Linked DNA regions of Rhinolophus ferrumequinum. The protein of the gene in region 4 purifies or fractionates together with the protein of the main gene of each other region. This does not show direct contact. Links are inferred from orthologs where the notes say so. Each region holds a gene or a part of one and is shown on either strand. Other genes may lie near its edges. The genes, in order: WDTC1, COPS9, DCAF10 and CUL4B.

What was found.
Region 1: the proteins of CUL4B (region 4) and WDTC1 purify together in Homo sapiens (affinity purification with mass spectrometry; 4 studies listed by BioGRID and IntAct, counting the BioPlex papers as one, with this or other methods). This does not show direct contact. The link is inferred for Rhinolophus ferrumequinum from reciprocal best matches to the Homo sapiens genes CUL4B and WDTC1.
Region 2: the proteins of CUL4B (region 4) and COPS9 purify together in Homo sapiens (affinity purification with mass spectrometry; 3 studies listed by BioGRID and IntAct, with this or other methods). This does not show direct contact. The link is inferred for Rhinolophus ferrumequinum from reciprocal best matches to the Homo sapiens genes CUL4B and COPS9.
Region 3: the proteins of CUL4B (region 4) and DCAF10 purify together in Homo sapiens (affinity purification with mass spectrometry; 4 studies listed by BioGRID and IntAct, with this or other methods). This does not show direct contact. The link is inferred for Rhinolophus ferrumequinum from reciprocal best matches to the Homo sapiens genes CUL4B and DCAF10.

Annotation. Positions count from the first base shown.
Region 1 is NC_046292.1:18,638,223-18,645,135, reverse strand, and holds the start of WDTC1 (WD and tetratricopeptide repeats protein 1), read right to left. Parts: upstream 3,010-6,913; 5' UTR 2,895-3,009; intron 1,484-2,894; 5' UTR 1,360-1,483; intron 1-1,359. UniProt on the Homo sapiens protein: May function as a substrate receptor for CUL4-DDB1 E3 ubiquitin-protein ligase complex.
Region 2 is NC_046291.1:1,141,548-1,149,371, reverse strand, and holds the start of COPS9 (COP9 signalosome complex subunit 9), read right to left. Parts: upstream 3,020-7,824; 5' UTR 2,928-3,019; coding exon 2,865-2,927; intron 1,069-2,864; coding exon 996-1,068; intron 1-995. Other genes in the region: OTOS (otospiralin), read right to left, coding at 6,050-6,234, 6,908-6,934, 7,062-7,166, 7,421-7,544.
Region 3 is NC_046295.1:53,409,528-53,417,360, reverse strand, and holds the start of DCAF10 (DDB1- and CUL4-associated factor 10), read right to left. Parts: upstream 3,014-7,833; 5' UTR 2,930-3,013; coding exon 2,385-2,929; intron 1-2,384. Other genes in the region: uncharacterized protein LOC117031691, read right to left, coding at 5,309-5,602, 7,217-7,347. UniProt on the Homo sapiens protein: May function as a substrate receptor for CUL4-DDB1 E3 ubiquitin-protein ligase complex.
Region 4 is NC_046284.1:36,157,897-36,164,995, reverse strand, and holds the start of CUL4B (cullin-4B), read right to left. Parts: upstream 3,020-7,099; 5' UTR 2,888-3,019; intron 788-2,887; exon of another isoform or gene 783-787; coding exon of another isoform or gene 1-782. Other genes in the region: C1GALT1C1 (C1GALT1-specific chaperone 1), read right to left, coding at 1-782.

The DNA.
Region 1 (6,913 bases), on a different chromosome or scaffold from region 4:
CATCCTAAAATAAGACATTAAATACAAAAATGCAAACAGTGATCTCTGAATCTAACTCTACAATAGGGTGAGAATTTTCTTTCCACAAAGTCTCTGGCACTGCCTCCTATACTCCAACCTGTTGGCTGAATCCTCCTCTTATTCAGTCCTCATGTTTTTAAGGTATTAGTCACTAATGTCACAAAGCCCTTTGAGGAGTCAGCAGCTATTTCTAATAGCACAAAGAATGAACCCTAGAACTCAGGGTTTCAGTCAGGTCTGAATTCACCCTGAAGAAACCAAAGTGGTCCCCTTTTACCCCTAAACCTGAACAATCAGTGAGGTGTAGTGGAAAGTGTATATTACCTCATTTAGTCCTCATAAACTCATTGTAAGGTAGGTGCTGTCCTAAGTCTTGTTTCACAGAGGAAACTGTAGCTCAGGAGGATATATGATTTACCCTAGGTCACACAGCTAAGAAAGTACAGACCATAGGTTCAGATACCAGCCCTACTACTACCAGGTGTGTAACATCCAGCATATTTTAAAACTTTCTGGAACCTCTGTTCCCTCATTTGTAAAGTGGGAAAATGACAGTACCTACCCATAGGGGATTTCAGAGGATTAAATGAGATATTATAGGAAAAGTGTCTAGCAAGCCTGGCACAAAGTAATGTTACATACATTTTAGTTTTTCACAGATCAAAATGATAGTAGTTTGATATAATTTTCACATAACAGAATTTAAAATACTAACAGATCACTTAGTCCAATTACCTACATAAGTATGAACTCCTCTATCACATCCTTGATAAAAAGTGGCAAAGCCTCTGCTTGAATACCTCCCATAATGGATAACTCACTCCCTTACAAGGCAGCCCATTTCGTTTTTAGGAAGCCAAATACTCTCCTACCAAGCTGTCTACCCTCTTGGAATTTCCATCCTTTGATGCTAGTGCTGCTTTCCAGAACCACACAGAAAAAGTTCAGTTCCCTTTCTGCAGGATAGTTCTTCAAGTATGTGAAAGCAGTTATCATGATCCCCCAGGCTGTGAGCTTCGGTCCTTTAAGCTCTTCCTCATGTGCCACAGTCCCAGAGGACACAGACGTGGGTTTGAATTTTGATCCTTTCCCTTACTAGCTGTATGACCTTAAGTAAGTTACTTAACATCTTTGAACCTGTATCTTCATATGTATAACAGGAAAAATGATTTTAACCTCACAGGGCAGTCATGAGGGTTAAATGAGATAAAGTAAGAACACTACATGGGACATGGCCCAACATATACCAGGCTTCCAATGAACACCGGTCACTTTATAGGCTATAAGCCAATTAGTACATATCTCTCACAGCATATTAGTCAGAATTAAACACAATACCAAGGGGTTGGTTTCTGACGGCAACTTCTAGGGCTTGGGGTTTTGAAGAGCTTTCTTCTTAGTTGTCTAAAAAGGAATTATGTGGGCCATCTGCAAATGGCAGCCCAAAGATGCAGTGGAGAATCTGGAAAGGTAAGGATGAAAGAAGAAAGAAAACAGGACATATCATTAAACCAGTGACCCAAAAGAAAATCTAAGTATCACCATATTACATGTTGTCTATGGTGTCCTCTCTAAGACCCAGGACTCCACATGTGGGCCACATTTCCTAATTCAAAAAGAAGAGAAGAAAATAAAAATAATTCAAGTCACAGTTCTGGGTCTTCCCAGCAGTTGGTCCCTCAAGATCCACAAATGTTTAGTGGGGAGGGAAGTGGGGGGGGGCTTCAAGATCTTTAGTTGCATCTTTCCAGATCCTTAAGTCCAGGTGTGGGAAAATACCCTACATAGGATGTTCCATAAGTCAATATTGAGTTCCTTCCAGCTAGAAAAATTGTCAGCTGTGTAACAACTCAAACTCAAAACTGGCAAATCGTAAATGTTAACACCATTACCATAATCATTACACATATTCTCTTTCCTTCCGCAACCCCAAAAGAAGGGGTCCCAAGCAGAAATACAGACTGTTGTTCAAATATTCTGCAGAGTTGACCCAAAGCACTGCTTCTAGAAATTGAGACGTGACTTGAAAATAAGTGCCCCCAAAATAGGTCAAAAGAAGGAAGGATTAGCAGGACCCCAGAATTAAAGCAGCATGATCACAAGCTGTGGCAAAAAAGGATGTTTCCCCCCTGCCAATGAAATACAACAATCTACGATAAAGAAATCCATTGTTAGTTTCAGACTCAGCTCAAAGGAGCCCTACTAGTTATTCCTTGGTCTGTGACAGTTGATCTAGCAACAGCCAAGATTCAATTCAATCCCTTTAAAAATATAAGGAATTACAAAGAAGAATAAGCCAGAACTAAAACCAGAAATAGCCTTAAGTAGTTCCTCACCTTAGTGAACAGAGACTAGCCACTCAAGAAGGACTGTAAGGTACAGAAAAGCTTAGGGCAGGCCACTGGGCATACCTGTGCCCTAGGTGGGGATTTCATAATGTCTCTGAGTCAAGATGTGCCCTCAGAAGAGTTTTCTTCTCAAAACTGTTGGCAGGCTTTGTTTAAAGGGAACACTTAAGGACTGTCACTTTATCCTTGGGAAGAATGGGGAAGCTACAGCCATCCTAGCGGGCTTCTAAACTCACAAACTTTAGGAAAACTTTAAACTCCTCCACTACCTCAAGAGATAAGTTACAGAAAGTCACAAAAGAAAAAGACTTCGGGGAAAACAGTCAAATGAGGCTATTAGACATTAGTCATAAGTACCGATACCTCCTTTCTAGAGACCCTGGTAGTACACCTGCGGAAGAGAGCCAGAGGGCACTAAGCAAATTCAACTTGGCTGGCAAGGGGGCGTCCCACTACAGCTTTCAGTAAAAAGAATTGGATCCTGCCGGTTCGCAGTCTCTCTTCTACTCCACACTTCCTATTTACCCTTTGAAGTGGGTGATGAATAGCCCGGTCCCAAGTAAAGGCCCTTTGTACGGGCGCTACAGTCGCCTGGTGGAAACACCTTGGCAGAGTTCAGTTTGGTGCCAGGATGGGTCACTGAAGGCATCTGCGACTGCCAGAAGCCTGAACACGAACACACACACACACACACACACACACAGAAAGGAGAGAGAGAGAGACAGAGAGAGACAGAGAGAGACAGAGAGAGAGAGAGAGAGAAACTAAGAGAACAGATCAGGTCAAACATTGCCCTCCCGGCACTTCCACCTGCGTGCCCCTTTCTTCCTGAGACCCGCGCCACATCAGATGTCAAACAAAAACTCCGCAAAGTCCCGGGATGGGACGATTTCCATCTCTCCCACGGCAGAGCCTCCCCGGACTCCCAGAGCTTTCTCTCGCCACCGTCCCGGTCAGCCCTCCACCCAGGCCCATCTGCCCTAACGCCCCAGTAAGGCCTGAACCCCTTTCGGGACACCCCGAAGCCCCGAGACGGGCAAGCTCAGGCCCCCGGACCGGCAGGGGCTGGGCCGGCCCAGAGCAAGCGGGCCGGTGTGCCGGAGCTGCGGGAGCCAGTCCTCGCCTCCGCGCCCGGAAGGCAAGGGGTGCGGCCCTCGTACCTGTCCAGGCCTCTTCCCAGGACCCCGCGGCGGCGCAACTTCAGGAGCCCATGTCCGTCTGGGGGCCCGGCCCCTCTCCGGGGAGGGGGGGGCACGGATCCCGGGGAGGGGGCTGGGGGGCCCGGTCAGCTCTAGCCTCTTCCCAGGCTCTCCGCCCGGCGCCTGGCCGGGGCCGGACAGCGCCTCCCGCCCGCCCCCTGCGTACCGCCTTACACCCGCGCTCACACACACTCACACTCCCTCGCGCGCTCTCATACACGCACTCCCCTCCCTCCTCCAGCACTGTTTATCTCCTCCAGCTGTCTGGGGGACCCAGGAGAAGCCCAGCTCCGCGCCTGCGCCACGCAGTCATCCGCCCCGCCCCGGCGCTTCACAGCCCAGCGGGAACGCTACGGAGAGAGCGCCTGGCCGTTTCCAGAATGGCGAGCTGGGCCCCCCCGCCGCCCTCCCTCGCGCCCGGTCAACGTCTGCTGCCGGCTTCCGCCTACTAAACCTGCTAGTGGGGGAGCCCCGCACCACCGCGACCAATCCGCTTCGCTCGCTCGCCGAACCCGCAGCCAGTGGGCAGGCGGGAGAGCCGGGCTAAGCCCTGGGGCATCCTGGGAGTCGTAGTTTTTCCTCCGTCGAAGAGCTGCGGCAGAGTGGGCCACCCCACCCAGTTGCCATTAGTTACAAAGACGCATCTCCCACCCTACATCCACGTAAGATGCTTCCTTACGTCTCTTCTGGGAGAAGCCTCACACGCAACCCATTGTCCCCCAGAGCCCGACACAGTCCTGCTAAGAGCCTCCTCATGACTTCTGAGAGCCCCAGAATTGTGGGACCCTCAGGCTGGGGCCCCAGGGCTCCCCACAGCTAGGCTCAGCTTACTCCTTCCTGCTCTGGGAGGCTGCACATTCCAAACTCTTGTCTCCTAGGCTTGAAGGAAGAGAATAAAAGGGAATCAGTTCTACACGGAGTAGCCTGGAGGGGAGCCAGCCACACACACTCTGGGAACCCTCAGGCTGATGGGAGAGGACAAGATACATCTGAAACTGGTAGAGGCACTGCTGAGGAAGAAGCTGTTTCCAACCTTTTAACCTCCTTTCTAAGGAAGTTCCCGAGGTGACAAGGGAGGCATCATGCTTAACTTCTGAAGGCAGAGACCAGGCCCCCACCCACAAGGAGTGTCAAGTCAGAAAAAGGCAGACAGTGAGTGCCATCTTCTGAGATTGGAACACTTGTTACTCACCTATAGGGTGAAAATTTGTTGGGGTAACAATAATAAACTGGCTTTTATTGAGCATTACTATGTCAGCACTGTAATGCGTACAGTTCCTTAGATAGGTACTGTTGCTATCTGTGTTTTGCAGCAGAGGAAGCTGAGGCCTAAGAGGTTACAAGCAACTTGCCCAGGGTCACATAGCTGATAACATCCAAGTCCAGATTGAAACCCAGATTTTCCTGACTCCAGAGTCTGAGCTTTTGAACACTATCTTTCCCTCCAGTGAGAATCAAGCAGCACCAAACCTCAGGAAAGATTGAATATACAGTAATGTGCTACTTAATGATAGGGATATGCAACATTGAGAAATGCAGCCTTAGGTGATTTTGTTGTGTGAACATCATAGAATATACTTACACAAATCTAGATGGCAATAGCCTACTACACACCTGGGCTATAAGCCTATACAGCCTGTTACTGTACAAAACAACACAAGATTAAATCAAGCACAAGAGAAAATAGTGCAATCCAATCAAGAGGTTTGTTAAACACAAGTCTACCGGTGCCAACACGACATACTGTTTTACAGCAAACATTTTTTTTTTTATAAATAGAAAGAGTACAGTCTTGAATAATAATAAAGAGTATAATATAGTAAATATATAAACCTGCGATATAGTTGTTTATTATCATGATCAATTATTGTGTGCTATACTTTTATATGACTGGCAGTGCAGCAGGTTTGTTTACACCAGCAGCACCACAATCTCGTGAGTAATACTTTGCACGTTACAGATGACCTCACTAAGCCGTCGGAATTTTCCAGCTCCATTATAATCTTATGGGAGCACTGTCATGTATGGGGTCCATTGTTGACCAAAACATCGTTACGTGGCTAATGACTGTACATATTTAGCATTTATAGTGTTTGTCCCCTGTTTATCACTCCGTGAGTTGCTTGTTTTTTCCTGCTCTGCTCACATCAAGAGTATGAGTTAGTCTTTGAGCTCCCAAAGGGTGATTTCTCCCCATATGGTGGACTTAGAACCTACCCTTGTGAAGTTAGCTTTGTGAAATGCCTTTCTCCTAAAAATGTTGTGGGTCATGCTTCCTGATCTCTCCCCTCATATGTTCCACTGAATATACAAAATCATAAACTTGGGGACTAGAAGAAACTTTGAGATTATCTATTCATAGCTCCTTAGGCTGAAACCCTGGTTAGGGTTACTGGGTCAATTAAACTGAATTAGCCAAAATTTATTGAATATTTACCATGGGAGTTAATGTTTATCAGTGAATGAAGCAATACTCTCACAAATCACATAGCTAGGAAGTGGTATAGTTGGGATAAAATCCTGGATTATTTGAATCCACAACCCCCATTTTAAACCCTTGTTCTATGCTGGCATTGTCACAGAGGATCTTGGAAATACCAACAGAGAAGTGTGGGTGAGGTTTCTGTGACTCCTAGCACAGTCTTTGGCATAGAGCAGACACTCAGTAAATATTTGTTGTCAGAATGAACTTTTTTGTTGGGAGTGGATGACAGGAAGAAGAATATTAATAATAGCTGCAGTTATTATTTATTGATTATTTTCTACCAGGAGCTCACTTGTTCTCTCAGCACTCTTTCTCTTTTCTGCTACCCATGTTTCCCTGAAAATAAGACCAACCCCGAAAATAAGCCACAGTTAAGACCGTCAGCCAGATGGACGCATTTAGTACGTTATGACGATGTTCCAGAAGAAGATGACATGACTGTATTTGAATAAACGTTGATTGTTATACATGAAAAAATAAGACATCACCTGAAAATATGCCCTAATGCATCTTTTGGAGCAAAAATTAATATAAGACCCGGTCTTATTGTCAGGGAAACACGGTAATAAGAGTATGTATGCATGTATGACATATGTGTATATATATATGTGTATATATATGTATTTATATACACACACATATATACATTCTCACACACACTCTAACTCATTTGATCCTCACAACCACCTTATGAGTCAAGTATTATTCTCACTCCCCTTTTCCGTAGAAGAAACAGAGACTCACAGGAGGGTTAAGTTTAGAATCAGACACCCCTCCCAGCCATAGGTGTTTTCAGATTAATCTAGGGAGAACTTTCTAACCAATAGAGCTGGGCTACTTTGGGAGGTTGTGAGCTCTCT
Region 2 (7,824 bases), on a different chromosome or scaffold from region 4:
CAAGGCTCGGCTCACATGGCACTGCCCCCAGGTCTGAGAGGAGCTGGTGGCACACAGGATGTTGCTTCAGGGGGTGGCCGGGCTGCACTTAACCAGGAAGACTGCAGTTAACCACGCAGCCTGGCTTCTCCTCTTAGGCAACAACCGGCTGAAAAGGAGCCCGATAAAATAACCGGGACTCAGGCAGCCAACCGTCTTTGGTACTTTGAAAACGAACATGGCAACATAACATCCTAGCTGCCACTAACTAGTAGTGACAAAAGTTCTTTGCAGTAGCAGGCACCTTGGGTTAAAGGAGGACGACAAAGGGAGAAATACCAGTCAGTACTCCTCAGAGAACGATCCTGTGCTTCTCTGATGACTCAAACGCTCAGGAAGGAGTAATAGAATCTGTAGGAACATGGTCTTCAGAAACTCGAAGAGACCAAGAAAAACACGTCCTCTGACACATGAGGATTTCACGTAAAGTTGCCTGCTGTTTACTCGGTAAAGCTCCACACACATTCTGGGTAACTGAAGGTCTGAAACACGAATGGCCCTGGTTTCAGAGGAAGGAGGGAGTAAAGCTGCAAAGGCAGCGTGGGGACAGGAACCCAGTGGACAGCAGGGAAAGGAAAGAAACCAGCCGTCAGGAGCGAACAGGCATGAGACGCCTGATGGGGTCCCCATGCCCATGTCTAGTGTTGCGGGCCATGGCCCAGACATGACCACGGCTTCAGGCATCCAAAAGCGTGTCTACAGCTCACACTCAATGCCCAGAATGTAAGACTGGGAGCAATTTTATGCTATTTTTATCTCCTGAAAAACAGGGCTGGCTGCCAGTGCTAACAGCCCCTGCTGTCATTTCATATAAACTGTACTGTGTTCCGAGAACAGCACTGGATCTGGGCTTTACTGTTCTACGATCCAAATCATCCGTGTCACAAGGTCGCTCCACGGCACAGCCTGCAGAAGAGACACTCAGATGAAAACTGGCAGCCCCTCCGCACCCTTACCGTTGAAAAAGTCTGCGTGCACTGCCTTCTCGTTGGCTGCCAAGTCCATCAGGAGGCCGGTGCTGCCTCCTGCCTGCGGAAGGGAAAGGTGAGGCTGTCAGCAGCGTTTTCCGCAGGTGAGAACCGGTGGTAAGTGCCTTACAGGCTCCACACCACCACGCAGGAGGAAGGCAAGGGGCAGAGCAGTGCCCAGGGCAGAGTCAAAATTTAGCTCCAGGCGAAACGTGGGAGGGGCGGGAAGGCGGAGTTCCCGGGAATCACTGCAGGTCTCCTGGGGTCCTGCATGCCTAGATTCCTCCTGGCCCTTTAGATAGAGCCCGGCCCTGCCCTGAACACCACTTCTCCGTGAACCTCCAGTGGAGGTCCCAGTTCTCTGCGGGACGTCGCCACAGAGGCTGCAAATGTGCGAGCCTGCCAACCTCTCTGCTCTGGACGGCTCCCTGCTCCTTCCAAAAAGTAAACCATTTCCCTTGGGAACTGACCTGCTGACTGGTTGGTGAGGGGGTGCCATCACAGCACCTCCCGGTGCCACAACTCTATGGTGGCAGTAAAACCACAGTACGACCAAAGCTGGGCACTGTGGTGAGCTCAGGCTCTGGATGGAGTCTTAGAGTCACACGGTGACGTCTGAAGTCGGAGCAGAGTCCGCCGCCCCGCGCCCGCCCCACTGCCCCCAGGCCCTGCTGCAGCCCTGCCCGCCGACTTCCCCCAGGCTGGCTGCTGCGCCTTCTCCTGGCTCTCAAGTAGGTGAGTGTGCCCCGTGTCCCCTGAATAGCTGCTCTCAGTGACCCCGGGCTTCTCCACCTGCCGCATCTCCTCTCAGCCTCCGCCGGCTTTCTGCATCACCGGTGAGCCATGCAGACTGCGCGCTGACACACTGTGTGCAGTGTGTCCCTGCGTCCATCTGCAGGCGCTGTCTTCATTCGGATGCTCCCGGCCCTCCTGGTCCTCGAGCTCTCACTCCCCCTGCAACGCCCTCCGGCGGCTGCCCGCACAGCGCCTTCCACAAGCCCAGCAGCCGGGGCTGGCGGGCGTGCTGGGTGCGGTGCGGCCCCGCCACCCCAGCAGGGCTACCGGCCGCCCCCCTCCGGCTCCTCCCTGCCGTCTCTCGGCACCTGAGGCCCGCCGTGTTAAAGGACATGACACTGCCGTCCCTCGACCCCCTGGGGACGCCCGCCAGGCCTTCCTCCTGCGCCCTCTGCCACCGGGCAAACAGCAGCGCGACCCTCCGCGTGTGCCCCGCTCAGCAGCCCTCCTAAGCTGTCGCGGGGCCTCCCCGACGGCCGCAGGCGGCCCCAGCACGGCGCCTGCACCTTCCCGTGACACAGTGTCTGCAGTCGGCCCTGCCTGCCGTGCCGTGACCTGCAGGCGCGCGGGGACGGCTGTGTCCCCGCTCGGCTTTGAGACAGAAAACGAGGCCCTGCCGTCGCGCGTGGGCCCGACACTGTGCCGGGCCGGCTCTGCAGCTCCCAGCTCACGCACAGACTCTGCCTGTGACCACGGCGGACAGGAACACGCGAGGCCACCTTACGCCTCTGTAACTGCAGGACGCAGCGCGGTCGCCGCGCCAAACGTCCCGAAAACGCGCGGTCACGCAACTGCCGAGCCCCCGCCCAGCTTCTCCCCCGGCCTCTGCCCAGATGACACCGCACGACGCCCCGGGGACGCCCCGCCGCCTCCCGACGACGCGCACCCAGACCCCAGCCCGGCGACCCCCCGCGCCGCCGACCCCGCACCCTCACCGGTGCTCGGGACCCGAGTTAGGCTTGGGTTTGGGTTCAGAGCCGTCGGGGCAGGGGACGCGGCGGGGCGGTGGGGCCGTCCCTCCCGACAGTCCGGCCCCGCCCGGCCCGCGGCCTCCCGCCTCACCTCGTCCAGGTCCACGTAGGGCCCGGCGCCCTCGGGGAACATCTCGTCCACCGCCGGCTTCATCTCCTTCGCGGCGCTCCGGGCGTCCCCGCCTGACTTCCGGCGCAGCGGCCGCCTCTTCCGATGTGCGCTCAGCCGCGGCAGGTCTATACGCCGGAGGGTCACCGACTCTATGGTGTTTTTGTTTTGTTTCGTTTTTTTTTCTCCTCCCCCTCCCCGCCCCCCTTTCTCTGGCAGGTCTAGACCCAGGAGGACCGCCGACTCTATGCTTTCCTCTGGCCTTTGGTTTGGACCCACAGGGCTGGCCCTGGTCCCAGCTGAGGTGGACGGGGTTTCCCGCCTGCTTGTCAGGCACAAGGGGAACTGCTCAGTGACTTATTGGTGGCCCATAGCCACAGACAATTCAGCCCAAAGCACCTGGCACAGAAAGGTGCCCAAGAAATTCTCATTAAAGAATGTGAATGGTCAGCAGAGTGAAGAGGCAATCCACAGGATAGGAGGAAATGTTTGCGAATCATAAATCTGAGACGGCGTTAACGCCCAGAATGTATAGAGAACTAAAATTCAACAACAACAACAACAACCAGATGCAAAACTGAGCAAAAGACGTGAATAAGGACATTTCTCCAAAGATACACGAATGGTAAACAAGCCCATGAAAAAATGCTCAATGTCACTGACCAGGAAAATGCAAATCAAAACCCAATGAGATGCCACCTCACACCTATCAGGATAAAAGCCTCCAGAAAATAACAAGTATTGGGGAGGATGTGGGGAAACTGGAACCCCTGTGCACTGCTGTGGGACTCTAAAATGGTGCAGCCGCTGGGGAAGACACTGGGGCAGTTCCGCAGGAATTAAACATAGAACTACCATGTGCTCCAGCAATCCCACTTCTGGATTTATACCCCAAATTGAAAGCAGGGTCTTAACGAGAGAATTTTCATACCCGTGTTCACAGTATCATTCACATCAGCTTAAACGTAGAAACAACTTGGGTATCTATCCATCGACAGACGAATCCCCCAGCCATCAGGCCAGCAGTGACCATGGCAGGGATGGGACAATGGTGGCCATGGCTCACGCTTGTTCGTGGCGAGAAGCTCAACAGTGGAGTGTTGAGGGGTAAAGGGGGCTGAGAACATGGGCAGGAAGTGGAAGGGTCCCCCACAAGTTCTGACTACAAGAGGGGGTGCATAGAAGAGAACTGAACCTGCTGTGTGCTGAGATGAACAGGAGGGGTTCTTGCCAAATCTGAGTCCTAAACACGGCAGTGAGGTGCCCCGGGAGCTGCAAGGCGGGCAGCCTGTTACCTAGTGGGCGTGGGGTCTGGGGGATGTGGGGGGTGCAGGCTTCATCCTCTGAGAAAAGAGGGAGGGTCAGCTGGGCCTTTAAAGACACATAAATGTGGCCCAGCTGTGTGTCCCCTGGCAGCTATGGGGTGCTGCTGACTCCTGAGACGGGACATAGTTCTGGCCAGAGCACCATGGGGTCTGCCCAGGAAGGCACCCAGGATTAGGGACTTTCCGAGCAGCCGACAGAGAGACAGAGGGGGCCACCATTCTTTAATGCTTGCACACCTGCCAGCGAGGTGTGCAAGCACACACACACACACACACACACACACACACACGTCACTACCGGGGAAATCCAGCTGCCAAGAGCATCTTTTCTCTGGTCTGATGGATCGAGACCCAGTTGTCCCCAGTGGGAACTTATGACAAAACCTCATGTCCAGCTGTTATATGAATCAGGAATTTTTTTTCTCTCAAAAAATGCAGCTAACTTACAGAAACCAAATTCAAACTAGTTCAAGGGAGGGAAAGAAAGAGACAAAGAATGTATGGGCTTCCCCAAAGCAATTAGTTAGTCTTCTTGTTGAGAATTTAATCAGGGGCACAGGGAGAGAACCCACCAGGTGGTCACAGGAGGTGGAGGTGAGAGGGCAGCAAGCCTGTGGCGGGCTGGGGTGAGGGGGGTGACCACAGGAGGGGCCGAGCCCTGCTGCTCTGGGCACCGCGGCAACCTCCCCCTTTCCAGGGCCCTCACAGCCCTGCTGGGGTCCGTGCCTGGGTCCCAGGAAGTACCCCCCAAGACACTGTTGCTATGAGAATTCTCACAGTTACGTCCCCTACTGCTTGAGATAACTCGACTCTTGCTCTGAGCAGCAGAAATTGCCTCACTCATCTTAAAGGACTGCCTACCAAGCCTCCCGGACGGATAGCACGCAGGACCAAATCCAGCGCCATCACGTATTTCCTCCCAGATAGAATGGGTAGCACACAAGTTTCACAAAGCCCTACGTAATTCTTATTATGAGTCACAGTTTCTGTAGCTAGACTTTAGCACACATACCAGTATCTGTAGTGAAATACATCATACTTTCTATTATTTTATTTTAGTAGAAACTCTGGTTGCAGCCCATTAGTTTCTTCCATCTGACAGGGTGTGACCTGCAGGGTCTCCAGCTTGCACACCTGCCTGCGATGGCTCACCATCTGCACTGCAGGTGTCCCCGTAGGAGAGTCTGGTCCCTGAGACGCCGTCCATGCTGCCTGTCCATCCTTCCTCTTCCTCCGGAGAGCACAGGGTGGGCAGACCTAGTGCTCCCAGCGCCCTGACCCTTCCACAGAGACGGAACCCCTGCTGCCTGGTGTAAACCGCCCTCAGGAGAGTGCCGAGTGTGAGGGGGGCTGTCCAGGCAGGGCCTGCCCAGGGGTGGCCGCTGCAGGTCTGGCTGCTATCCAGCTTAGTGGCTAAGGGCAGGGGCTCTGGGGTGAAGCTGCCTGGATGGGCCTGGGTCCATCAACAGCTCAGCCAGTTACCTGGTGTCTCTTTGCCTCAGTTCCCCCACCCACACTCTGGGGGACCTGCAGCACCGCTCCTAGGGTCAGGGTGAGGATGAGATGACGGGGGACACAAAGCAGCGAGTCCTGAGCTAGAGCTGCTGTGTCTTCTATGGACAGAAACTGTGTACATGCTTATCAAAGAAGTGCTCGCTGACGGTCAAAGGAGCAGCTTCCTGGGCCGAAAGAGAAAGGAAATGGGTCCTGAGTGGAGCTGTCTCTTGAAAGAAAACCACAAACGTGTGTTGTGCATTTTAAGTCAGGAGTTTATTGAGCTGAGGCCAGACCCAAATCCCCTCGGGGTCCCTCTCTGCCCCAGGGCGCCAGGCTGGGGACCTCTCAGTCCTCCTGATAGGGGACATGGAAGCCCAGGGTGTTCCCCAGGGGGAAGTGAGCAAAGAAGGTGCGGGCCATTTCGTCGATCTGGGGGTAGGCCCCCAGCGTCTGGAAGAAGTACACATAGTTCCAGAAGTCAGACGTGGAGAAAGGCCAGTAGGGCATGGCCGGCAGCTCAGCGTAGGGGTCTGAAAGACACAATAGCCGGCCTCAGGGCTGTGCCACTCATCCTGCCCCCTGGCCACCCCCATGGAGGCCTCAGGCAGGTGAAGGTGCTCAGCAGAGCCAGCGCGGTGAGGGGACCGTCTTGGCTGGGAGTGCGGCTGGGCCACCCCAGGTCCTCCCGGAAGCACCCTGGAGCCTGGTTATTGGGGCAGCAATGGGGGATGACCCAGGCCCTGCCCCTTGGACTCCTGGTGTGGGGGACAGAGGAGGAGGCGGAGAAGGTGGGGAAAGTCTGGCCTCCCTGGAGATGCTGAGCGGGGAGGGAGTGCTGTGGGAAGGACGTGGGGCTGTCCTAGTGGGATTTCAAAGGAGACCACAGCCCCCAGCCCTGGAACCTGTATGTTACTGCACTGAGCTAGAACTCTGGGTCCGAGGGTGGGAATGTCAGTGTCCTCAGGGGCTCAGAGGGTCCCAACACCATGCAGAGCCCTGAGTGGCCCCTATCTGATGTGTCCCCCGGGGCCTGGAGGGCAGGGCCTGGGAAAGAGGCGCCAGTCCCTCTGCTCGCACAGCTGGGCCTGGAGCGGACCCAGGGGTCCCCTTCAGCTGCTTGGAATAAGAAGCAGCTCCCACCCAGTCCCTCTCCTTCCCCCAGCCCCACCAGACAAGAGAAGAAATGGGAGGAAGATACAATACCTCCCTCCTCCTGCACAGGCTTGGCCCCTGCAAAGGAAGAGGAGAACAGTCACCCAGGAGAACCCCCGGGGCGGTCTCACCACACATCAGCTGCCCTGGTGGCAGGGGGACGAGGCGCAGAGGGGAGCATGCAGGAGGACAGGGAGCCTCTCACCTGCCAGAGGCACCAGCAGGAGGCAGAGGGCCACCCCGTGCAGCAGGAAGGTTTTCATCTTCCTCAGACTCATCCCCACTGACCCGCTGACTGGCTCAGGTCCGCCTGCAGCAGGAGGAATCCAGAGGGTGAGACCACCCACCCGTCAGTGCCCCGGCTTCTTCCTGCCACCCCCAAAGTGGACAACTCCCGGGAAAACAGCTCCGGTGAAAAGACAACTTCTTAGTGTTTTCATAGCAGTTTTAATTTCAGTGCCTTCAAAGTATTATTCTGAGGCTAAACCCTGCGTTGCTCTGGCCCTGTTTAATTTCAACAATTTAAGAAACCGCACCTCCATCTGCTGCCCTCCCTGAGGTTACCTGGCCACCTCGCTCTGCTCCTGTCCTCAGCCTCAGTCTCGCAGCTGATGGTCGCCTGCTGCCAGCACACAGGCTCCGCTTTATAAACACCAGGACAAGGACGGACGTCACCTACGTGAACCATCAAACTGAATATTTCATCCCCCGCCAGAGGACCCGGGGCTTGTGTGACGCTGCTGGCAGTGGAACTGCACGCGTCCACGTTTGGGAATCTGATCCAAAGATCAAATTGGAGAAAAACATCTTTCTCAGGCGACTTCTAAGATTTGTATGACTGAATTCAACATCGGGACTCGAAATAAACCCATTTCCTCTCCCCCGGGAGAGAAAAATGGTCTAAGTCTGATACTGAGACTGAGATTCCCCCGCCCCCTGACCCCCATGGACTGGGCAATCACAGAGCT
Region 3 (7,833 bases), on a different chromosome or scaffold from region 4:
ATCTCATTTAACACAGATGCCACTTTTTCTAAAAAATTACTTTAAGTGCTATAAAAATTTGGAGTATATTAGTAGATGTAGCAAGATACTAAAAACTTAAGCCACTGAACTATTTTCACCTATCACCTTGACATAAATGAAAAAGAATGGCAATGTTCTATGTTGGCAAGGGTATAGGAGACAAGCATTTTCATTTATGTCTCTGGTAGGAATGAGAATTGTTATAGTCTTCAGAGAGGACAATTTAATAGGTATCCAAAATCTTCATAACCTGAATTCATTTCAGGGATTTATCATAAGGACATAAATCTAAAATATTTGTTTACAGAGGTTTTATTTAAGCTAGTGAAAAATTTTAAATGTTGCAGAAATATATTAACATAGGTAATTCATAATATATTGTATAAAAAAGCAGGCTACAAAATAGCATGATTCCATGTTTGTATTAAAATCAACATATACAAAGAAAAAATTTTCTGGGATATCCAATTAATCTTCGGGATCATAAGTTTTGTTTAGCTTCTTTTCATTCATTTATTGCCTAGGTTTTCTACAATGAGTATATATTAGCTGGGTAATTAAAAATTATTGAATTGTTTTAAATATCAGAGTGCCTAACCACTTTTTACAAAAATGTTTCTATGAGAAAATACAGTCCAGATTCAGACAAGAACTATCAATAATATATCCCTCATTCTAATATCACTGGAAATAGAATTCCTCCTTTATAACTCATTCTATCCCTCTCACCCTCTACCTAAAATCCCACCTCCAAGAGTAGAAACAGCGACTTCTGAAGGTCTGACAGAATAGATAGGAAGAGGGAGGAGAGGAGCTGCGATATGGAGAAGAGAGGAACTGAATGTTCATGAGGAAGAGATTCTTGGTATTTTGGGAGGAGCTTTAAGAATAGGGCTTGGTTTGAGGAAATAGAAGGGAGAGAAGATTCCATGAATAAACTTCAGCAAAAGTTTTTCTTTTTACCAATTTCCTCCTCTATATTCAGGTGCAAATTTATTGCTACAAGTTCCATACAACTGCTATAATGAGAAACTCCAGAGATCCCAGTACCAAGTGTAATTAGGAAGAAGCATTTGCATCAGTGAAATGGAATAGGGTGTACCTGGCTGATTCCAGACTCAGTTGCTTTGCTCCTTTCTGACTGTATGTTAAGTCTTTCTTTAGCAAAATTCTTTGCGTTGTTAATCTATCATCTTTCAGCTTCTCTGACATGATACACTGCCCCTCCAGACACATGCCTTTGATATACCAGTTCCTACATATGAAATATTCCCCAATGCTAGCTATCTTGACTAACTCATCTTCTCATTTGTCTGATCTTCCTTAAGTGTCACTTCCTAAGGGAAACCTCAAACACCCTATTCTACAACAGGTTCCTTCAAGCCTTTATCTCAATTTGTAAATATACATTATTAATTATTTAGCATGGTTATTAATATTTAGTTGAACCAATTGGTCCCAAGCTCAATGAAAGCAGTGCCATTAGCTGGTTTTGCTCACCACCGTAACCTCCATCTCTGGTACATACAAATGCTCAACAATTATTTGCTGAATGAGGGAATGAATGAATGAACAACTAAGCAAATGACAAGAATCCAGAAGCCTTGATAAGGTACGAGTTACATGAACTAAGTCGTCTCATGGTGGAACTGTGTGTAAATTCTTTTCTTTGACTGCTGTTAAACTTGTTCGCATACTCACAAAACAAAGTTTTAAGAAGATACATTATTTTGAAAATTGGCACAAAGTAAACTGAGGCCAAACACGAGCTATTTAATCAGCCAGGAAAAAGGCTGGTTCCTCTTAACAGAAGCATGTAGTCTAGCCTGGAAACTTCACAAATGCCCCACATCATGACACACCTCTCTGCAGTGTCTTTAGCATCTTACTGGAGCAATGGAACGCACACTTGTCCCCTCAGGGCAAGTCAAGCACAGGGTACAAGGCATCTGCAGGCTCCCTACCTTTGACACATGCTTAGGTGAGAAAAACTCATGCCAAGGTGACAGGGAAAAAATGAGCATTTATCCAGTGTATTTACTGAGCATCTATTACTGTGCCAAAAAAAAAACCCCGTTTTGGACTGGTTCTGACAGACCTGCTAGTGACTTTAGAAATTTCCCCTTCACAGAGCCTGGGCGTCCAGGTGAGCAAATGAGGCCACCGGCGGCCGACCTCAAAAAGCCGGATGGGGCCTCCCACAGAGATAGAGCATTTCAGAAAGCGCCAGAGGCATGAGGCCAGCGACGCCAAACAGACTCGCGCACCCCGGCCCGGGCCGAGCAAGCGAGCCCTGGGCAGCGGCCCACGGGCAGCCGAGCCCGGCGGAGCCGGGTACCCGCCCTCCGAGGGGCCGCGCTTACCCGTCGGGCGAGTACTCGAGGTTGAAGACGGCACCGTGGGTGCGGGTGCTGAGGTACACCGAGTCGGCAGGGTGGATGGAACCATAGAGGTTAGTCATGGTGCGGAAATTGTCCCGGGCCGGGTCCACAAACAGCCCGCGGCCCAGGCTGCGTTCTCTCAGCCACCCGAAGAGCCGGGCGCCAGGGCCGCCCAGGCTGGCGCCGAGGCCGCGCCGACCCCGGCTCCCGACCCTGCAGTCTGGCCCGGGTCGCCGGCGCGTCGGGGAGGGCGGTAATGGCTCTCCTGGGGCGGAAGCAGCTGAGGACTCCAGTGCTCCGGCTAACCTGATCTCCCCAGCATGCGAGGCCTGGGGCGGCGAGGGGCCGCGGGAGCGACGAGGGCTCCGGGAGGGCGACGGGGGAATGGCTGCGTCAGCCCCGGGCAGTGGCGGCGCGGGCGGGGAAGGGAGCGGCCCGGCAGTTGACACCTGTCCCCCGTGGGGTGCCGGCTCCTCAGTCCAGGCCTCCCGGTCCCCTCCGGGGCTACCGGGCCCGAAGGGAAACATGACTAACGCCCCCGCCCCCCCTCTCCCGGCCGCTGCCCCGCTGGCAGCCACCTCGGCCCTCCCGCTCCAGCCGCCACTTCCGGCGCGCGGCGGCCTAACCCCGCCGGCTGGGAAACCCGCGCCTCCCTTTGGCCACTATCCGCCGGGGACCGCGAAAGCCGGGACACCGACCGAGGGCGGTCGGGAGCGACTAACTGTCTGTGTACACAACTGAGAATGCAGAGGGCCGGGGCTGTATGGTGCAATTAGCATCTGGGCACCTAGTGTAACAGAGTCAATTTGTAGTTGTCAGCGACCGTGACTGTGTGCCAGGGGATGAGTGGGGCTGACTAGTCAATGAGGTTGGGTATGATTATGTACTGTTATCCCCCAGTTTACACTGAGATCAGCGAGGGGAAGAAATGACCATAGTATGTGCAGGTCACACATAGTAAGTGTTACAGTGTACTGCCTACTGAACCTGGGAGTCTAAGGACTCTGATTAACTTATGCACTAAAAAGCCCTGGCCCATACAGTGCCTGGAAAATGGAGCCTACTGGTGCCCTGATATTTGCCTGATTCCCAGCTTCTGCACAGTAGGTCAAAACTTTATCAAGGTCAAAGCCTTCCTCTCTGCAGAACCAGGCATATATCCAGCCAGGAGTCACTGAGGGGAGCTGGAGACCTGAATCAAATCTATCTTACATGCAACAGAGCCCAGGATCAACCCCATTTACAATCTCCCAGGCAGGGCATGGAGGGCATGACAGATACAAGGCCCTTCACTGCTGTTGAAGATAAATACATAGAACTCTGCATAAAAGGATTAACAGGAACTGGGGTGTTTTTTGGGAAGAGTAGTCTTCAATAAAGGAAAACTTGAGGTACAAGGAGGGGTAGATAAGGAACTGACAATTCTAAGCCTAGATCAAGAGCTGTGTTGTAGAAGGTTCACATTTGGTGACTGAGGAAAACTGTGGAGGATCTTTGTAAAAAGATCTATCCTGTGAGAATAGACCCAAAGTATATCTGGAGGAAGGAAATGAGATTCAGAGGGCTGAACATTCAGCAGGTGCTCCCAGCAGGAAAGTTAATAGTTACTCAGCTCTCCTGTCTACGAGCTGATCAAAAAAATGGCAAGAAGCATGCGTCCTGAGTTCAGATAAGGCAGCCATTCCTCTGGAGATATTCCCTATGTTGCCCACACAGAGCAGAAGGGGTAAAGGTCTGTCATATGATTAACAAATAATCTCCCTTAATGACCCACAATTTCCAGCTGCAACAAATATTTAATAGAGGCCCCGTGCTTGACCTCCAAGTTATGGCCAATGGCTAAAACTTTATGGCCTACAAAACCTTGGCCATGATACATTCACCAATGGTAACTTTTTCAGTAAATAAAATAAAACTTAATTTTAAGGGTTCCATATTCTAAGGCATTTAAGATACAGTTCCAATAGAAAAACCCAAGCTCTGCAAGATTTTTGTGCTAGCTCAAGATAATTAGATTTCACAGTTCAGGCAATTCAAAATTAACACACTATATAACCCCAAAACTGAATAAGAACTGTTCACTGACAATTTAAAGAATCCAAAGAAATCAAATGGGAACAAAAACATTTTATAGGTTTACATGTACCTCTAGCAATTAGATACGAATCTTGAAAAGTTAAGATACCCACAGACTTTAGCCCAAAAGCAGAAGTGTTTGTAATATACCGAACAAGTCTTTCAGTAATGCCAGTTTTTTTTATGCTTCTACTTAAAATGTTAAGTGCTCACTTATTCCAAATAATCTTTACTAAAACCTAAAATAAACCTAAGGACTAAAATAAATGACCATGATTTTACAACCAATCAGTATATATATATGTATAAAAACCACTGGAAATTAACTGAGAAAGCCTTAAAGATAGAACAACGTTAACCATGCCTGCTCCTATTTATCCACTGCCTTTGAGACTCTTTAAATACAACCATGTTAACAAGGAACTGATTTCAAATCACAGTCTATATAGACCAATTTCTGTGTAACACTATTTTTGAAAGCTAAAAATTTTCCAACTTTAAATTCCTGAAATTCACAGATGTCAGTTCATCAAAAATGCTTAAAGCATCCTCTGAACTCCTTTGCTCCTGATGCTCTTTTTAGATAACAATAAAAGTAAACAACTGGCAAAGGTTTCCTGAAATTGGCAAAGGTTTCCCCTAGGCCCAGGTATCACATGTTTCTAGATATCCCCAACACTTAGGATCTATCTCATCAAGCAAGCAGGGAGCAAATTTATTTACTCTCTTCCCTGTCCACTGACTAGATGTTTTCAGAAAACTACTTCCCCATTGATGTCTTCTAATGCAACATGCCTGAAATGTAAACATTGGCCTTTCCATTCAGGCTTTTATACTTTGGGAGCAGCAGGATCACTCTTGATGTCTTTGACATCACTGGTTCTGCCCATCAAATAGAACTCTTTGTTAGGAACAAGACTGACAAAATTAGCAAGACAGTTGGACATGGCATAAAAAGCTGAAATGGTAGCTATGTCCCAGGCATCTTCTCGGTTGAAGCCATGCACTTCAAGCTTTCTGAAATGGTCATCTGTTATGTCATCAGCTCTGGAAATAGCAAGTGCAAACTCCAGCATTGCCTTTTCCCGAGCAGGGAGGTCAGACTTTCTCCAGTTCACACAGACCTGCAAGAAAACACAGTCAGAAGCAGAATCTCTGTGCATCAAAATGCAGCCAATAAAACACAGGCCTAACGACATGGGCATTAATAAAAAAAATCCAAGGGTAAAGAGGCAAAGTCAGGCCATAATAAATTTTCCAGACAGATATCTTGGTCAAGTTCAATGGAATGCAAACCTGGAACTTTGGCTCAGTCCCACCTCTGCCAAGAAGTCTTCTTTACTCACTCTAAGAACTTCTTTCTTCACTAAACACCTATAGCATCAAAACTCTCAGAACCAGATTCAGACACTCTTAGTACATAAAGACCTCAAATCTTTTCATATGAGAAAAGTAAAGCTCAGATAATTATCCCTTTAATTCCCTAGGAAGTAGTATTTTTTATTACTACTCCCATTTTATTGGCAAAGGAACTGAAGCTCAGAGAGGTGAAGAGACTTCCCCAAGGTCACACAGCTAGACGAGCAGAGCTGGGATCTGAATCCAAGTGTATTGGATTCCAAAGACTATACTATTAATAATAATCATTACCATGCTGAAGCATAATACTACAAACTACTAAACACCTAAAAACAGAAGAATAGTTCAGGAAACCATGGTGTGACAGCACACCATATGGTCACTAGGGAGGCAATGCCTGAGAAACTGATCCTGGTTGAGCAAAGGTCTGGCGCTTAGGCAGAAGGCTCTGAGCAGGGGAAAGAGGATAATGTATCTGTCCTGAAGTTATCTTCAGGATAGCAACAGAGGCTCTCGGTGAACAGTTTGCAAGGTTTCCACTCAGGTAGGGCCAGGAGGGAAGATTGGGGAATGAAGACTGATGACCTTCAACCTCAGGAATAAATGCAGAAAACAGATATTTCTGTCCCCCCAGCTAAAGGATCAGGAATTTCACTATGGGGATCAGTAGGACTTTGTAAGCTTGGTGACAAACCCATGTTCACTATGTCTACCCTCAGTCCATTTCTCTGGGAAGAATTAGCATGACCTCCGACACCCAAATGACCCGACTCTGGATGAAGCAAGGAGAGGGTAAGCCATTGGCTGGGGCGTTGAGACCCATTTCACAACTAGTCTTGGTGGCAAAGAGCAGATGGAGGCAGTTCCAGAATGGGAGGCAGACAGGCCCAAGCTTGGGGTTAGCAGTAAGAAATAAAACCTACAAAACTGGCTTGGGCCCATTAGGAGTAACTTAGTGGGTAGACTACATTTGCACTGGAAAATGCAAACAGTATAATGTAACAGAAAGAGTGCATGCTTTGAAAATGGTTTCTGCCACATTCTAGCTGTATGCCCCATGTTAAGTTACAGCTCTGAACCTCAAGGGTAAAATGGTTATAATTAGGCTCAGCCTAGAGGGGGAGTTGTGTGCATTTGAGAGAATGTATGCCAAGTATCCAGTACCAGGTCTGGCACAAAGCTGGGGCTCAGTTGACCTCTAGCCCTAAACATCACGTACACACAGAAGCAGGTGGGCCAGTGATGGCGACTGAAAGGGAACTCAAGCAATGGGAAGAGCTAGAGACATGTGTTCTTTGCATCTTACAGTAGCATGTGCTTTTCCCTTTCCTCAGGTCTGAAGAGACCCTGAGACTGGCACAGGGGAGGCAGGCACTAACCTGGTCAGAGAGCACTGGGTTCTTCGAGTAGACCCTGTACTGGGCACTGTGGACAACCACACTGTATGGGCACCTGCTGGCCTGGCTGATCACCACTATGATTAGTTCCTTGTCAGCTTTGCTGAGCTGGCCTGTGGAGGAAAAGGAGGAGACCTGTCCACACACCCTGGACAGCAGCTCAGGAAGAACCTCGGCAGGCTCAGCCATATTTTAGCGATAGAGCTGCTCACCCACCTCCTCAGTCACCCATTCGTTTATGCATTCATTCCCAGTCCCTCACTACCAACTATCCTATTTTATTTTCTTCGTGATACTTAACACTTTCTACACTCAACTTGCTCTTTTATTTTATTTAGTTATTCATTGTTTTCCCCTCTCTAGATGCTGTTTGAAAGTCTAGACATTTTTCTGACTTGTTCACCACTATATCCCCAAAGGAGTACTTAATATGATATATAGTTGCTAAGAAATTATGTGTTGAATGAGTTACTAAATTCAAGGAACATTATCTGAGGCACATCAGGTACTAGACAACCACTTTTTAAAGACAAGGAAAAAGGAGAGAAGAGACTTCCTAAGCTCAGGAAACCTACTACTTGGGGGTAGGGAGAGGCAGA
Region 4 (7,099 bases):
TTAGTCATTGCCTCTTTAATAAAAAGCCCAACAGATTTGGTATTAAATACATTTTTTCCTTCAGAATCTTCTGCATTTTCTGCAAACACTCCAGCATATTTCAGGCAGACTGCTAGCTGCTTATCTTCAGATATCTTCCAAATCATCCCTCCCTGTTCAGGACACTTTTCAGGGACACTGAGAAGGCTGTTAAGTCTTTTCATTGATTCTATACTTAAGACAATTCCTCCTTCTACACTCACATATTCAAAGTCTCCAGATTTTATAGTGTGGCCCAGATAGAAAGGTTGTGATGGATCCTTTTTTAACAAAAAATACTTTAAGTTTTCAATAATAGCAAACGTGGAGGGGCGTGCAAGGAAGAACCAGTTGTACTGGTCTCTATATTTATCAAAGGTGTATTTGTAAGCTTTTCTCATTATTAACCACATGTCATTTGTTTCCATGTTAATTGACTCAAACACTTTAACATTTTCAGAACTGAAGAACTCCGCTTTGTCACAGTGTTTGGTCCAAGTCTCCTTCACTGCAGCCCAAAGACTCACATCTTTGGGTTTTACAAGGATGATACAGTATACCCGAAAGCTCTTACTGAGCTCCATGCGTTCATCCTCTGAAATTTTCAAGATATCTTCTTTCTTAGGAGCTTGTAGGTGATGATGCTCATGGTGGTACATTCTATTTCCATAACCAATTCTAATGTGTCCTAGCATAGTGATCAAGGCACAGAAAATGCTTCCCAGCATCACACCCTTCAAAAATGAACTGCTTTCAGAAAGCATTTTTCCTATAAAGAAGAAAAAAATCCTTAGGATACTTAAAAGAAAAGGATTAACCTAGTGATTTGATTTGGTATTCCATATGTATACTTACATTTTGGTCTTAACATTAAATAAAGGTTCCCAAATTTGAAATCAAGTTAGTTGCATGTAAGTACCAAAGGGTCTAATAATAATTAGCTTCCAATTTATACTGTTCAGTATAAACTGGAACTTTGCAGCAACACCTCTCTGCAGAATTTTCTGGGAGGCTATTTTTGTATTTCATCTATGGGGATTTAATTAACCAAGTACTAAAAGCATTAACTCGAGTAGCCAATGTTACATAGATTATTCTTCCATCATTCTGTTTAAAGGAATTTCGTATCAGAAGCTTGCATTATATTATTTAAATACCTCTTCAGATACAGACTTTTACATCAAAATCTTAAATTGAACAGATAAAACCACCCACAATTGGCAAATCAATGGTATCTGTGCTGGCATTTTTGTTCTCAACCTAGTGCTTTATTTAACTGATGATTGTTGTCCTTAGGTGTTTTGAGTACATGTAAAGCAAGTTTCTTGAAATTGACACAGTGTATGTTAATATTTACCCTATTGTTCCTAAGACTAAATGGTTTCCAATACAGTATCCCAACTAACTCATGTAATCAAAGCCCACAATGAAAATAGTTAAATTATTTGAATGATAATTTGGGGCACCATTCTGGGGAACCATTAATGAACAGTTTTACTTCCTCCAAGGCATTTTCTTATTCTTTGGGGAAGTAAAAGGAGAAAAGTTTACACTTTTACTTAAATTATAAATTAAAAGAAAACCCAACATTAAATAGAACTGTCGAGATTTTCACAATCTCCCCTCTATCTCCACAAGGAATGGTGTACTTAGCTACTGAGATTCTCCCTTTGTCTCTTAAAGTTGAAAAGGGTCTTAGAAGCTACCTAATGTAATTTCTCTCATTTTACAGCTAGGGAGAGGGTCCAGAGAGTTTAAGTAACTGACCCAAAGTCACAGAGTTAGTTAGTGGTAGAACTGAACTAGAAATCAGATCTCCTGACATCAATTTAATGCCTTTTCTATTACAGAATAATGATCTCAACAGTGCTTCTACTGCCCCTGAGCCATTTGAGAATTTACTGATATTACCGAGAATTTAATAAATAAGTTACTGAATAACCTTGTTTTCCTACAAATCAAAAAAACAAACAAAAACCTGTGGGATTTTTAACCATAGCTGACACTTTGGACACGACATCACTACACTGCTACGAGGAAACCATCCCGTGATATTCTTCTACAGGAAATGGACTTGGACTTGTACTAGAAGGACAAGGTGTGGAATAGCTTGGCAGATGTAATTCCTGAGTGTGGGTGTGGGGGTGGGGAAAGAGGCAGGATGGTTTTCCTGTGCCACTCACAGAACTTGGTCAATAAACACAGCTCTAAGAAGGAAAAGAGAATTGACAGGACACAAGCTCTGCTTAATATTAGAATTGTCAGATGCACTCTAAAATTGATTTAGATAGAATTTTCGCACTTCATATTATGCTATTTTCATTTCTGGCTAATATATGATAATTCATACGTGTCTCTTAGCTTAATAATGCATATGTATGTCAGAATTCTTCTCGATGGGGTCACTACTTATGGCTTATTTGCACCAATTATTACAAAGAGATCGTTTTTTTAAATCAGGGTGGCAAAAAATGTAACACGGGAGATGCACATGATAGCATATTTGGTGCAGAAGAGGGGGAAACTTAAACTGCACACAGGCACAAATAAAGCAGACAATATCAGTGTTTTCTGAGATGCATCGTTTTAGAAGGTGAAGATGGTTGGGGTGGAGTATAGAAAAGGGAGGACGAAACGGAAACCAGGAGGGAGGACATGGTCACTTCAAGATCCCATTGCGGGGCCAAAGAGGGCCTTCAAGAAGGCGGCTCTCGGTCTACCGCCCGCACTACTCCCACTGCACCTGCCCGGGTACCCCGCATAGAGCATGCTGGGAGTGGGCCAGGGCCCAGGCCATCCCCCAAAGAAGGGCGGGGTTGGGCCGCTTCGGGGGCCGCTCCAGATGCAGGCCGATGCCCCCAGCACTCACCAGCGTCTAGAACGGTTCAGGGGCGGGAAAACACACCCGCGCACGGCTTTCCTCTCACGTTCGCGCGCGCCCCTCGGGTACGCTCCTGGTCGGGCTGCTCTAGATGCAGGCGGTGTAACCTCGTTGGTTTCGCTAGAGGTGGGTAGGGCCAGGAAGTGGACGCCGCGACAGCGCTGGCAGCGGGGCGGGGCAAACGAGCCCTCGGCCAGGCGGAGACATCGGCCAGCGCAGACGTCGGAAGGACCAAGCGCGCGCACAGCGCCCACGCACCGCGCACGCAGCGCGTCCTTTCTCCCCGCCCTCTGCTGAGGTCAGAGAGGCGCGTCCTGCTGGCTTGATCCGCACGCTCGCCTGTACCAATGGGACGCCTAGAGAAGTGTGCAGGCGTAGGACCTGCTGATACCTCCCACCTCTTCATTTTCCGGGCGTGAAAGCTGCGAGAGCAAGGAAGAGCATTGCTGGTTGCAGCTCTTGTGGCACACCTTTCAATGGTTTCTCAAATGTACTCTTCCGTTACTCCTTGGGCCAAAATGAAAGCGACTTGGGCCAAAATGGAAGCGACTGAAATAGACATCGAATTATGAAGGCAAGGATTCACTGTGGTCATTGGAAGGACATCTGAAGCTCCACTGTCTGGAATCCAATCCATCTTCACCGTTCCCTTTGGTATGCTAGAAAAGTGGCTTCACCTCATTATGCTTCAGTTCCCTCCTTTGTAAAGTACAGAAAATATCACGGTAGTGCTATCTCATAGGAGGTTAAATGAGATAGTGCATATGACTCCAACAAAAGACCAAACATAAAGTAAGCATTCATTGAATTTTGGCTATTATTTTTTACCCCTGTATCACTAGCACTTAGCCTGCTGCTAGCCTGTAGTAGACAGTACACGTTTTTGAAATTAATGAATGCTAGAGCTACAGATGAGGAACCAGGACCAGAAAGGATAAAGCACTTTCTAAAGGCCACAGAGAAATTAATGGCAGAGGTAGGACTAGAACCTAGGTCTCCTAAATTGCACTAAACATGCCATCTTCCATTTTAAATTCATTTTTGTGACAGACGGGTTTTGCTAAAACAGTACAAATTCTTACAAATATTTAAAACGTACTGTTAACTAGCTTCCATCCAAATAACACTGAGTGGTGACTTACTCCATACCTGAGCTCCTAAAGACACGTATATTTGACTATTGGCAATGACCTAGTTTAAGTAGACTGAAGGTTTCAAGAAGCACTGAGACAATGAACAAATCGATTTTAGGCAATTACTATCCTGACAGCACTCCTAAATTCTGGAGTTACAGTGGTGAACAAAATTAGTCCCCTGCCTTCATGGAGCTGTCAGTCTAGCAGAGAAGAAAGGCATTAAACAATTCATTACAAATAATTACAATAGTGTTATGTCCTTTAAAGAAATACAAAAATGAATTTTAGAACTGGAAAGGAACTTAAGACTGCAGAGTATATTCACTGTATTTTGTTAAATAATATATATTGTCTATTTTCACATATGTAGATATATGTGTATGTATGTGCATATGTATATGTATATAGTTAAGTGACACAAGTTGCGGAATAATGTGTATAGTATGATTATACTTTGCTGAAAATGAACAGAGTTTTCTATGTGTGCACATATATTTGATCTGTTTGTATGAGCAAAGAGTTGTGGAAGGCTCCTCAGCAAGCTGTTACTATTGATTACATCAGGAGGTCGAGGTGTGGGTGATTAACTTTCTCTTTATACATCCTCCTATTGTGTTGTTTCACTGGATATAACAAGCATTTGTTACTTTTGAAGACCAGCAAATAAAGGGACAAAATTAGAGGTACAAAATGGGCAAGACGGAAAGATACTTCTTTTAAAGAATGCAGAGAACCAGTCTCTTCTTGCCAAAAGGCACCAATGAAGGACAGATAGAAATGACACTCAGGATTCAGAGACAGTGACGACCAGGCAGTTAAGAAATACAAATTGGTAGTGACAAGAGTCACAGGGATGTACAGTACAGTATGGGGAATATAGTCAATGATATTGTAAAAACTGAACACTGTCAGATGGGACATAGACATATGGAGGTTATTACTTTGTGAGGTATATAAATGTCTAATCACTATGTCACTTTGTACACCTGAAACTAATGAAAAAATAAATACAATGCATCTTATGTCTAGTACAGGGAGGTTAACCAAACTGGAAATATTGCTACAAGAAACAGAATAAACCTCAGGATTTTCAACACCAAAAGCACTGTTAATGGGAGATTGCCTAAAAACCCAGTTCTCTACTTAAAGCAGAGCTTAAATATTTTTAGCATTGGAAATGAAGTTAGTGTGATGATGGACTTGCAGTTAGGTGATTGCAGTTTTAGAACACCATTCTACGTTATAGCCCTAACTTAAAAATGCATGCAATTAATATCTGTTAAAATTAAGAATATTTATACTCTTTGGCCCAGCAAACCTGCTTCAGGTAATCTCTCCCCCAGAAATTAAAGCACCAGAATGTAAGGCTAAATGTATAAGGGCAAATACATTGTTGTTTATAAAATAGCAAAAGTGGGGAACATCCACCAATAAGAGAATGGTTTAAGTAATTATGATACAGCCATGTAGTGGAATATTAAGCATAAAATAAACATCTTATTTCAGTAACCTGCACTAAACATTTCACTAAACATATTAACCTGCACCTTGTGGGGGAGGGTTGCTTTTGAGTTTAGTTGCCTTCATGTACCCAGTAGGTAAGTAAGGCAAGATTGCATTCAAAACTGAAACAATGCATTTTTGGTAAAGCCCTCCTCCCAAGTGTATGCATTATTCATAATGAGAAGTCATTAATTTCCAGTAATTGGAGATTCAGTAGCATGTGAGCACTCGAATTTTCGAAATCACTGCAAAGGCCTTTGGGAAATGAACATGGCTTTCTACAACAGTTCACTGGAATAATAAAATCTACTTTTGACACAACTACCCGTTTATAAGGAGCACAAAGGACAGAGAAACATATTAAAGGAAACAGGATGAGACTATTTGCACCAGACTGGGTAAATGTACGAGATGAAAAACCAGATTTCTTCAACAAAAAAGATCTACTTTCTTCTGGGCAGAAGTAGTACACGTACTACAGGTACTTAATGTTGGTAAACACAGGAGACATTTTGTTTTTAGTAGTTTCAGGTGCACAAAACAATGTAATAGACATTTATCATTTATATCCCTCACACAGTGATAACCCCCCTCCCCCGATCCACTATCCCTCTGACATCACACACAGCCATGGCATTTCCACTGTCTCTATTCCTAAGGCTGTACTCCAATTCTTGTAAATATATATATATATATACACACATATATATATATATATTTATTATATATATAAAATTGTAGTTGATATTCATTATTGTTCAGCTTCAGCTTCAGGTGTACAGTGCAGTGATCAGGCATCTACATCTTCCCTGAGGTGGTCTCCCTAATGGGACAAGTGTCCATTGGATACCCTACAAAATCTTTACAACATTATTGATTACATTCCCCAAATTGACTTTCATATCCCCGTGGCAATCTTGTGGTTACCTATTGTGCTTTCTAATCCCCTGACCTTCCCCCTTATCCCTACACCCCCTCCCATCTAGCAAACTTCAGTTTTTCCTCTATGTCTCTGAGACTGTTTCTGATTAGTTCATTCATTTATTCTTTTCTTCAGATTCCACATATACGTGAGATCATATGGTATTTGTCTTTCTCTGTCTGACTTATTTCACTTAGCATAATGTTCTCTAGATCCATCCATACTGTTGCAAATGGTAAGATTTCTTTCTTCTTTATGGCTGCGTAATACTCCATTGTATAAATGTACCACATTTTCTTAATCCAGTCGTCTACCGATGGGTATTTCGGTTTCCATGTCTTGGCTATTGTGTATAGTGCTGCAGTAAACATAGGGGTGCATACATTTTTTTGAATTAGAGTTTTGGATTTCTCCATATACATACCTAGGAGTTGAATTACTGGGTCATAAGGTAGTTCCATTTTCAGATATTTGAGATTCCTCCGTACTATTTTCCATAGTGGCTGCACCAATCTGCAATCCCACCAACAGTGCACGAGGGTTCCCTTTTCTCCACATTCTCGCCAGCACTTGTTGTTTGTTGATTTATTAATGATAGCCATTTTGACTGGGGTGAGGTGGTATATCATTGTGGTTTTT